Sus scrofa: one gene and its partner. The protein of the gene in region 2 interacts with the protein of the main gene of each other region in a pairwise test. Links are inferred from orthologs where the notes say so. Each region holds a gene or a part of one and is shown on either strand. Other genes may lie near its edges.

Evidence for each region.
Region 1: the proteins of TSC22D1 (region 2) and APLP1 interact in a two-hybrid assay, tested with the Homo sapiens proteins (2 studies listed by BioGRID and IntAct). The link is inferred for Sus scrofa from reciprocal best matches to the Homo sapiens genes TSC22D1 and APLP1.

Annotation. Positions count from the first base shown.
Region 1 is NC_010448.4:45,288,532-45,292,331, forward strand, and holds part of APLP1 (amyloid-like protein 1), read left to right. Parts: intron 1-137; coding exon 138-250; intron 251-486; coding exon 487-620; intron 621-714; coding exon 715-899; intron 900-1,357; coding exon 1,358-1,488; intron 1,489-2,106; coding exon 2,107-2,181; intron 2,182-3,022; coding exon 3,023-3,181; intron 3,182-3,258; coding exon 3,259-3,387; intron 3,388-3,800. UniProt on the Homo sapiens protein: May play a role in postsynaptic function. The C-terminal gamma-secretase processed fragment, ALID1, activates transcription activation through APBB1 (Fe65) binding. Couples to JIP signal transduction through C-terminal binding.
Region 2 is NC_010453.5:22,517,224-22,521,802, forward strand, and holds the start of TSC22D1 (TSC22 domain family protein 1), read left to right. Parts: upstream 1-1,568; 5' UTR 1,569-1,699; coding exon of another isoform or gene 1,700-2,656; 5' UTR 2,657-2,849; coding exon 2,850-4,579. Other genes in the region: atherin-like, read right to left, coding at 1,700-2,656. UniProt on the Homo sapiens protein: Transcriptional repressor. Acts on the C-type natriuretic peptide (CNP) promoter. Acts to promote CASP3-mediated apoptosis.

The DNA of each region.
Region 1 (3,800 bases), on a different chromosome or scaffold from region 2:
CAGGTTCATATTAGGGAGCTGGATGCCTGGGTCCAGAGTGGGACAGAGAAGCCTCTGAGGATAACAGATCTGGATTCTAGGCGGGTAGGGCTAGTGGCTGTGGGAGTGTCTCACACTGATGCCCCCCCATTTGCCAGCGGGTGAATTTGTAAGCGAGGCCCTGCTAGTCCCTGAAGGCTGCCGGTTCTTGCACCAGGAGCGCATGGACCAGTGTGAGAGTTCAACCCGGAGGCATCAGGAGGCACAGGAGGTCAGGACCTGACCCCCTCATCCTCACTCCCCACTCCCTGCCCCCACCCCAGAAGGCAGGAGTCCAGTGCCCTAACACCCTCTTCCTCCAGAACCCAAGGGTCTGGCCCTCAGCCCCCTCTTCCCACAGGGACAGAGCTAAGAATCCAGGCTCCCAGCCCCATCAACCCCAAGACCCAGGCATCCCGGCTCCCCGTCACCCCACAGTCCTGGCATATGGGCCCACTCTTCCCGCAGGCCTGCAACTCTCAGGGCCTCATCCTGCATGGCTCGGGCATGCTTTTGCCCTGTGGCGCGGATCGGTTCCGAGGTGTGGAGTATGTGTGCTGCCCGCCTCCAGCGACCCCCAACCCATCTGGGACAGCAGTTGGGTGAGTGGGAGGGAAGCCTCCATGCCCAACCCGGAGCTGGAAACCGGGGCCCTGGGCCCAGGTTCTTACTGTCTCGGGTCTTCTGCTCCCCCAGTGACCCCTCCACCCGGTCCTGGCCCCTAGGGGGCAGAGTTGAGGGGGGTGAGGACGAGGAAGAGGAGGAATCCTTCCTACAGCCAGTAGATGATTACTTTGTGGAGCCCCCACGGGCTGAGGAGGAAGAAGAGGAGGAAAAGGTCCCACCCGCAAGCTCCCACACCCCTGCAGGGGTCAGCAAAGGTGAGGCAGCCTCTGAACCCCCAGTCCCCTCCACCCTGGAGGGAGGATGATTTAAGGGAGCCTTAGTGTAGGGGCACCTTTGGGAGGGGCCTGTGGGAGAGAAGCCCTGTTGGGGGGAAGTGGGAGGGCTGGGAATGGCTTTGGATAAAGTACAGGTGGAAGGGCCAGCCTGTGAGGAATGCAAAGGATGAGGATGGTTTGGGGGTACCTGGAAATGGAGGGGCCATTTGGTAGGTCCTAAGGATTATTTGAGGAAAGCTTGGAGGGGGGTGTATGGATTCCCAAGCTTGCAAGAAAAGGCCCAGTCCAGAGCCGTATCGCCCATCACACCAGGCAGCAGCATGGCTCCAGTGAACTCACGTTGGTCTCCAGTGCTCCCTAGGAAATGCAGTTCTATGGGAAGGGAAGGTGACCTGAAGATGGGCTTCAGGCTGACTCCCTGATTCCTGGCCTTGCAGTGACTCCCACCCCGAGGCCCACAGACGGTGTGGATGTGTATTTCGGCATGCCTGGAGAGATCAGTGAGCATGAGGGGTTCCTGCGGGCTAAGATGGACCTGGAGGAGCGCAGGATGCGCCAGATTAATGAGGTGATGATGCTGGGGGCCTCAGGATCCCCCATAAGCAGAACTTCAGCAGGAAAGGCCTCAGGGATGCATTGAGACTACCTCTAAAGGCTCTCCAAGCCCTTGTCAACCCCCCCCAACACCCTCCCAAGGATCCCTGACCCACCTAGGATCCCATTGTGAAGCCACCAGATTCTATGGTAACCGTGGTGCATGGTACGCTTCCACTTCAAATTCCTTCTGGAGTTCCCGTTGTGGTTCAGTGGTTAACGAATCTGACTAGTATCCACGAGGATACAGGTTTGATCCCTGGCCTCACTCAGTGGGTTAAAGATCCAGGGTTGCTGTGAGCTGTGGTATAGGTCGCAGATACGCCTCGGATCCTGCATTGCTGCGGCTGTGGCGTAGACCGGCAGCTACAACTCCGATTCCACCCCTAGCTTGGGAACCTCCATAGGCCTCAGGTGCAGCCCTAAAAAGCAAAATAAATAAATACATACATAAATTCCTTCTGAATCCTCTCTCTTGGGAATCCAAGCAGCAGTGGGACTTCAGGGATAAGGAGACTCTGAAGAGCGATGGGAGGACTCACTGGGTGGAGCAGGGCAGAGTCTAGGATCCTGAAGCTCCACTTGTCCCCAGGTGATGCGTGAATGGGCCATGGCAGACAACCAGTCCAAGAACCTACCTAAAGCCGACAGACAGGCCTTGAACGAGGTAGGACAGCCCTAGGGGGTCCTCATCATGCCTGTCCACCACCTGGGGCATGCTGGGTCTCCGCCTGGCTCAGGCTTTGTCTGGCCTCCTTCAGTTTCACCCCTTCCTACAGATAGGGAGCTCTCCCCACCCCACCCTACACTTGGCTCTGCCCCTCTCGGCCCAGATCAGACCTGACTTTGCCCACCTCCTCCTATTGGCCATGTTTTGCCCTGTCTTAACTTGATCCTAACCTCTTAAGGGCTGGCTCTGGAGTCTTCTTCCGAGCTGGGTCCCTGCAGACACAGCCAGATCCTTCTCAGCCTCTCTTTGATGCTAGGCCCTGTCCCCTGACTCTTGTCCTGCCCACTAATCTCTCTACTACTCAACCCCTCCTCGGGAGGCCCAGCCTCATGACCCTGGGACCCCCTCTCTTGACCTCACCTTGGTACAGCCCGACCCCACATAGACCCCACTCAGGTTAGCCCCACTCCCTGACTCTTGCTGCAGCCCCTCTAGTCTCGTTTAGCCACAGCCTGTCTCCAGTGGGCCCTGCCCAGGCCTCCAGCCCTACCTTTCCTATAATACTTTATCCCTTTTCATGGTTTGTTCCCACCCACACAGTTGACCCCTTCAGCTGGCCTCCCAGCAGACCTAGTCCTGCCCCGACTCTATCTGGCCCTGCAGCCCCAGCCCCTCCAGTCTCCTGTGATCTAGTCCTACCCCAGATTGACTCTGCCCAGACCTGGCTCCACTGCACCACCCTCCCCCTGGGCCCTATAACCTCACTTTTCCAGACTATCTTTGACCCACGTTTCACCCACCCACGCCTCTCCTGACCCTGTGCCCATCCCCTCTGCAGCACTTCCAGTCCATTCTGCAGACCCTGGAGGAGCAGGTGTCTGGTGAGCGACAGCGTCTGGTGGAGACCCATGCCACCCGAGTCATCGCCCTCATCAACGACCAGCGCCGGGCTGCCTTGGAAGGGTTCCTGGCAGCGCTGCAGGGGGATCCGCCTCAGGTGCGGGAGCCGTGGGGGCAGAGGGCACAGGGTGAAAAGCGTGGGGCGGGCCCGGGCAGCCTTCATCCCTTCCACAGCCAGAGCGCATCCTGCTGGCCCTGCGGCGCTACCTGCGAGCAGAGCAGAAGGAGCAGAGGCACACGCTGCGACATTACCAGCACGTTGCTGCTGTGGACCCCGAGAAGGCCCAGCAGATGCGCTTCCAGGTGCTCAGACTCTTCCAGCTCCCAAATACCCTGCTGCCCCTCAGACCCCATCCATCAGACTCTCCTCTTGTCCATCAGACCCTCTTTCCAACCCATGGACCTCCTTCCTGTCCCTGGAACCTCTCCCTTCCGTGCCTTGGGACCCATACCTGTACCTCAGACCCCTACTTCCTGGCCCTGGAGCACTGCCTCCCCCACTTCCTGTTTCTTGACCCCACTTCCTGTCCCTTGGCTTCCTACGTCCTTTCCCAGAACCCTCCTCCTGTGCCTCGAACTCTGTTCCCATCCCTCAACTCTCCTTTTTACCTAACCCCACGTGCTCTCCCTGAAAGCCTTGTTCTGTGCATTCAGATCCTAATTCGTTTCTGGGATGTTCTCTTGCTGCCCAAGGATACTCCGTTCAATGCTCGTGA
Region 2 (4,579 bases):
TATATAAGAATATAACAACAGTGATACTCCTAACCTTTGGGGGATGGAATGAGGGGAAAAGTTGAGAGAAACCTAAAGGTAACATGTTGAATCACCAATGAGGCGTCTATGGAAACCCTGCCGTCTACTTTTTACCAAGCTCCTGAAACAGGACTGTAGATCCGTTAGTCTGTGAGATTTAATGAATCAGAGGTCTAACCCTAAACGTTTAGTTCCTCAACAACCTAAGTAGAAAAAAAAAACCTTTCTCTCTAAGGTTTTCCACATTACTTTGCTGTGTTTTAATTCCTGGGCGAGATGTACGGCTCTCAGTAGTAAAAACTGCTTAGAACTAGAATGTTTTGACATGTAATGCCAGGGAAGCAACTTCCAGTAAATTGCCTCCAATCAAAGCTAACATTGCTTCTGTAGAACTATGCTCGGACCCATGCAGGATTTTGTTTTTATTTTGTTTATGTTTTTAAACTTGAATCGCAGATGGTTTTCTTTCTTTTCTACCTCTAAAAGGTAGTATTCATTTATCACAGCACTTGTATTGCCACAAAGACTAGGCCACTTTGTCTTTTAGGTCAAACCTGCAGGGGCTACAGCCTGGACAATTAAACTAGAAGATATCCCGGTTGGAGGTAAGCTCCACCTGTTGAGATCGGTTATTTACTAGGCTGGGCTGCTGCATCCCTCCAGGAAACAATGGCTTGCAAACGCTCCCCTCTCTAGAGAAGAGCCTAGGCATTTAACTGCAAACAGCTGCAACATCTGCCCGGCTGGCTCGTCCCTGCCCGTCGAAGGACGAGGGGACCGCACGGCAGCAGCAACTGCACCGCACAAAAGGGAGCGCCTATCCTGAGGAGCCACCGGCCTTCCGCGACCCCGCAGCACCAGGCTGGGGCATCCTCCGAGGGGGCGAGGGCGGCGAGGGCCGGGGGCGAGCCCAGGTGTGGCGAAGGGGAGGAGGGCTTCGCCACGCGCCGAAGAAGAAAGCCTGACTCATGTCGTGGCGGCGGCGGACTCCTGGGAACTGAAACTCGTGATGCTGTTGCTGCGGAGAAAAGCCTCATTACCCATTCCGCAGGCGGGGGGACACCACCCAGGGCGCGTACACCCGAGACCCGGGGCTCCAGCGGCCTCCGCCAGCCCCTCCCCACCGCGCCCCCTCTCCTGCCGCGTGCCCGCGCGCGCGCGCCGGCCGCGTGTGAAAAAGGAGCGGACACACCTAACCTGCGCGCGCCCCGTACCCGGCCCCACCCCCATCAGGCAGAATCTCTCCGGCCGACCCGGATTCGCTCCCCCGGCCGAAACTCCCCACCCCCGCCGCCGGCGGCGGCTTCGGCGCCTCCGCCAGCCTTCGGCAATTTCCGCCGAGACACCCGGAGCTCGGAGAGGCCCGAAGACCCGCCGCCAGATCCGGCTTTATGGCTGCGGCCCTCGGGGCGCATGCGCAGACGCCATCTTCCCTCCTTCTCCTCAGCCTGCCCCCTCCCCCCGCCACCGCCACCGCCTCCTCTCGCCGGCGGTCGCCCCTCCTCCTTCTGCGCTCGGGCGCTGGTCCCTCCTCTGCCGATGCCGCGAGAGACTCGCGGATACGGTGGAGCCGGAGAAGAGCACTAGTAACAACCACCGCAGCCCCCTCCCCGCCCGCCGCCCTCCCTCGGCAGCCACCCACTCACCCGCCCTGTTCGCCGACACCGACCAACCCCACCTCTCGTTCCTTTGAACGGCGTCGGCTGCAGTCGCTGCACCAGCCTGTCTGGCCACCAACGCCGCCGAGAAAGGAGTCGTCGCCGCTGCCTGCGGCCCCCTCCTGCCTGGGCCGCGGGAGCAGCGGGGTGAGGACGAGCCGGCTGCGGAGGAAGAGGACGAGAAGCGGCTCGCACCGTCGGCGCTTAGCGCACGTCCCGCCGCCCTTCGGGGAGGCTCGGGCGCCGGCCCCTTCCTCCCCCAGGACGTGTGCCGAGCCGAGGCGCCTGCCCGGAGGGAGGAAAATGCTCGGGCTCCATGGCTGCCAGTGATGGAGCGGTCCCTGGGCTCCCGCTGCCACCGCCGCCGCCGCGCCCCTGCCGTGCTCCGCGAGGACCCGGCGTCTCTGCGCGCCCGCCCGCGCCTCGTTGCTGGGCTCACCGTACCGGGCGCCCCGCCGCCGCCCCGCTCCGAGCCTCGCCGCGCCGGCCCCAGCCGCGGCCAGCGTTTCCTCAGGGAGCAGCAGCCGCCGCGAGCCCAGGGGGTTTGAAAGGGTCCGCGGGGCGTGGGGGGAGGGCCGAGCGGGGCCGGCGGGGCTGGGAGGGGAGGTTTGAGCGACACTGAGCTCGGGGCTCGCCGGCGGCGGCGGCGCTGGGGGTGGCGAGGGGAAGGCGACACTCGCTCGGCGCTGCCTTCGTGCAGAGCCACCGGGAGGGTTTTGCAGCGGCCGCCGCCGCCGCTGCGGCGGGAGGAGGGGTGGAGGTGGCTTCGGAGTTGTCCGGAGAAGGTGGGCATTTCTCGGCTTTCCCGCCCCCTCCCCTAGCCTCCCCCCTCCCTTGCTCTCCCCCTCCCTCCCGCCCCGCACCCCACGTGAAGCGGAATATAAAGGGGGGTGTGAGGCTAGAGGGGAAAGTGAATGGTGAAGGGCTGAAGGGGTACCCCCTTCGGGTCCTCGGCCGCCCTGTTCACCCTCGTTCATCCTCCCTTCCCGAAGCTCGCCCTCGAAGGCAGCAGCGGCCGGCGCCCTCGGCTGAGGAGGAGTAGGAGGAGAAGGAGGAATCGCGCCGGGTGGAGCATCAGGTCCCGTTTTCCTCCCCGGGCGTCTTGAACACAAAGATTACGGTGCAGAAGGAAATTGCTCGCGCCTCCTCCGCCCCCCGGTCCCCAACACAATGCACCAGCCGCCCGAGTCCACCGCCGCCGCGGCCGCGGCCGCTGCAGACATTAGTGCTAGGAAGATGGCGCACCCGGCAATGTTCCCTCGAAGGGGCAGTGGCGGTGGCAGCGCCTCTGCTCTCAGTGCAGCAGGTACCGGCGTTGGTAGTAGTGCCCCATCTTCCGAGGATTTTCCGCCTCCGTCGCTGCTCCAGCCGCCACCTCCTGTAGCATCTTCTCTGTCGGGACCACAGCCTCCGCCTCCACAAAGCCTGAACCTCCTTTCGCAGGCTCAGCTGCAGGCACAGCCTCTTGCACCAGGCGGAACCCAGATGAAAAAGAAAAGTGGCTTCCAGATAACTAGCGTGACCCCGGCTCAGATCTCCGCCAGCATCAGCTCTAACAACAGCATCGCAGAGGACACCGAGAGCTACGATGATCTGGATGAATCGCACACGGAAGATCTGTCTTCTTCCGAGATCCTTGATGTGTCACTTTCCAGGGCTACTGACTTAGGGGAGCCCGAACGCAGCTCCTCGGAAGAGACGCTCAATAACTTCCAGGAAGCCGAGACCCCTGGGGCCGTCTCTCCCAACCAGCCCCACCTTCCTCAGCCTCATTTGCCTTCCCTTCCACAACAGAATGTTGTGATCAATGGGAATGCTCATCCACACCCCCTCCATCACCACCATCACATTCACCATGGGCACCACCTCCACCACGGGCACCACCATCCATCCCATGCCGGTGTGACTAGTACATCCATTCCCGGAGGGCCACCCTCAAGTCCCGGATCCAGAAAACTCTCGACAACTGGAAGCTCTGACACTGTTATGCCCGCTGCTCCAACTTCTGCTGTATCATCGGGTGGCTCGCCTGCCCCCGTCATGCCTAGTATCCGAGCTTCGAGTACGACGGGCAGTATAGGTATCAATTCTGTCCCTGGCACTAGTGCGATGAATAACGTTAACCTTGCTGCCGTGGGTAGTTTTAATCCCAGCGTGACCAGCAGCATGCTTGGTAACGCTAATGTCAGTGCCAGCGGTATTCCCAGTGCTGCTGGCGTGAGTGTGGGGCCTATAGCGAGCGGTGGTGTCAACGTGAATCTCCTGAGCGGCATGGGCAATGGTACTCTTTCTTCCTCCGCTGCGGTGAACAGCGCTGCCAGCGCCGCTGCGGGGGTGACGGTGGGCTCGAGTCAGCAGCAGCAACCCGCAGTGAACACGTCGAGGTTCCGAGTGGTAAAGTTAGACTCTAGTTCGGAGCCTTTTAAAAAAGGCAGATGGACTTGCACCGAGTTCTACGAGAAGGAAAACGCCGGCCCTCCTGCCGAAGGGGTGGTGATAAACAAAGCGGTGGAAACTGTAAAACAAAACCCGCCTGAGGTGACCTCCGAGAGGGAGAGCACGAGTGGGAGCTCAGTGAGCAGCAGCGTCAGCACCCTGAGTCACTACACGGACAGCGTGGGGAGCGGCGAGATGGGGGCCCCAGCTGTGGTGCAGCTGCAGCAGCCGCCGCCGCCGCCACCACCAGCGGCCCTTCAAGCTGTGGCCCTTCCGCCGATGGACTTCGGCAGCAGCGTGGGCGCCCAGAGCCTCCCAGCGGGTAGCGTACCGCCTAGTGTTTCCCAACCCCAGGTCTCGCAAGTGCAGTTACAGCCTCCGCCTCCAGAACTGAGCTATCAGCAGAAGCAGGGTCTCCAGCCAGTACCTGTGCAGGCCGCTCTCCCCGCTGCGCCTGGTGTCCA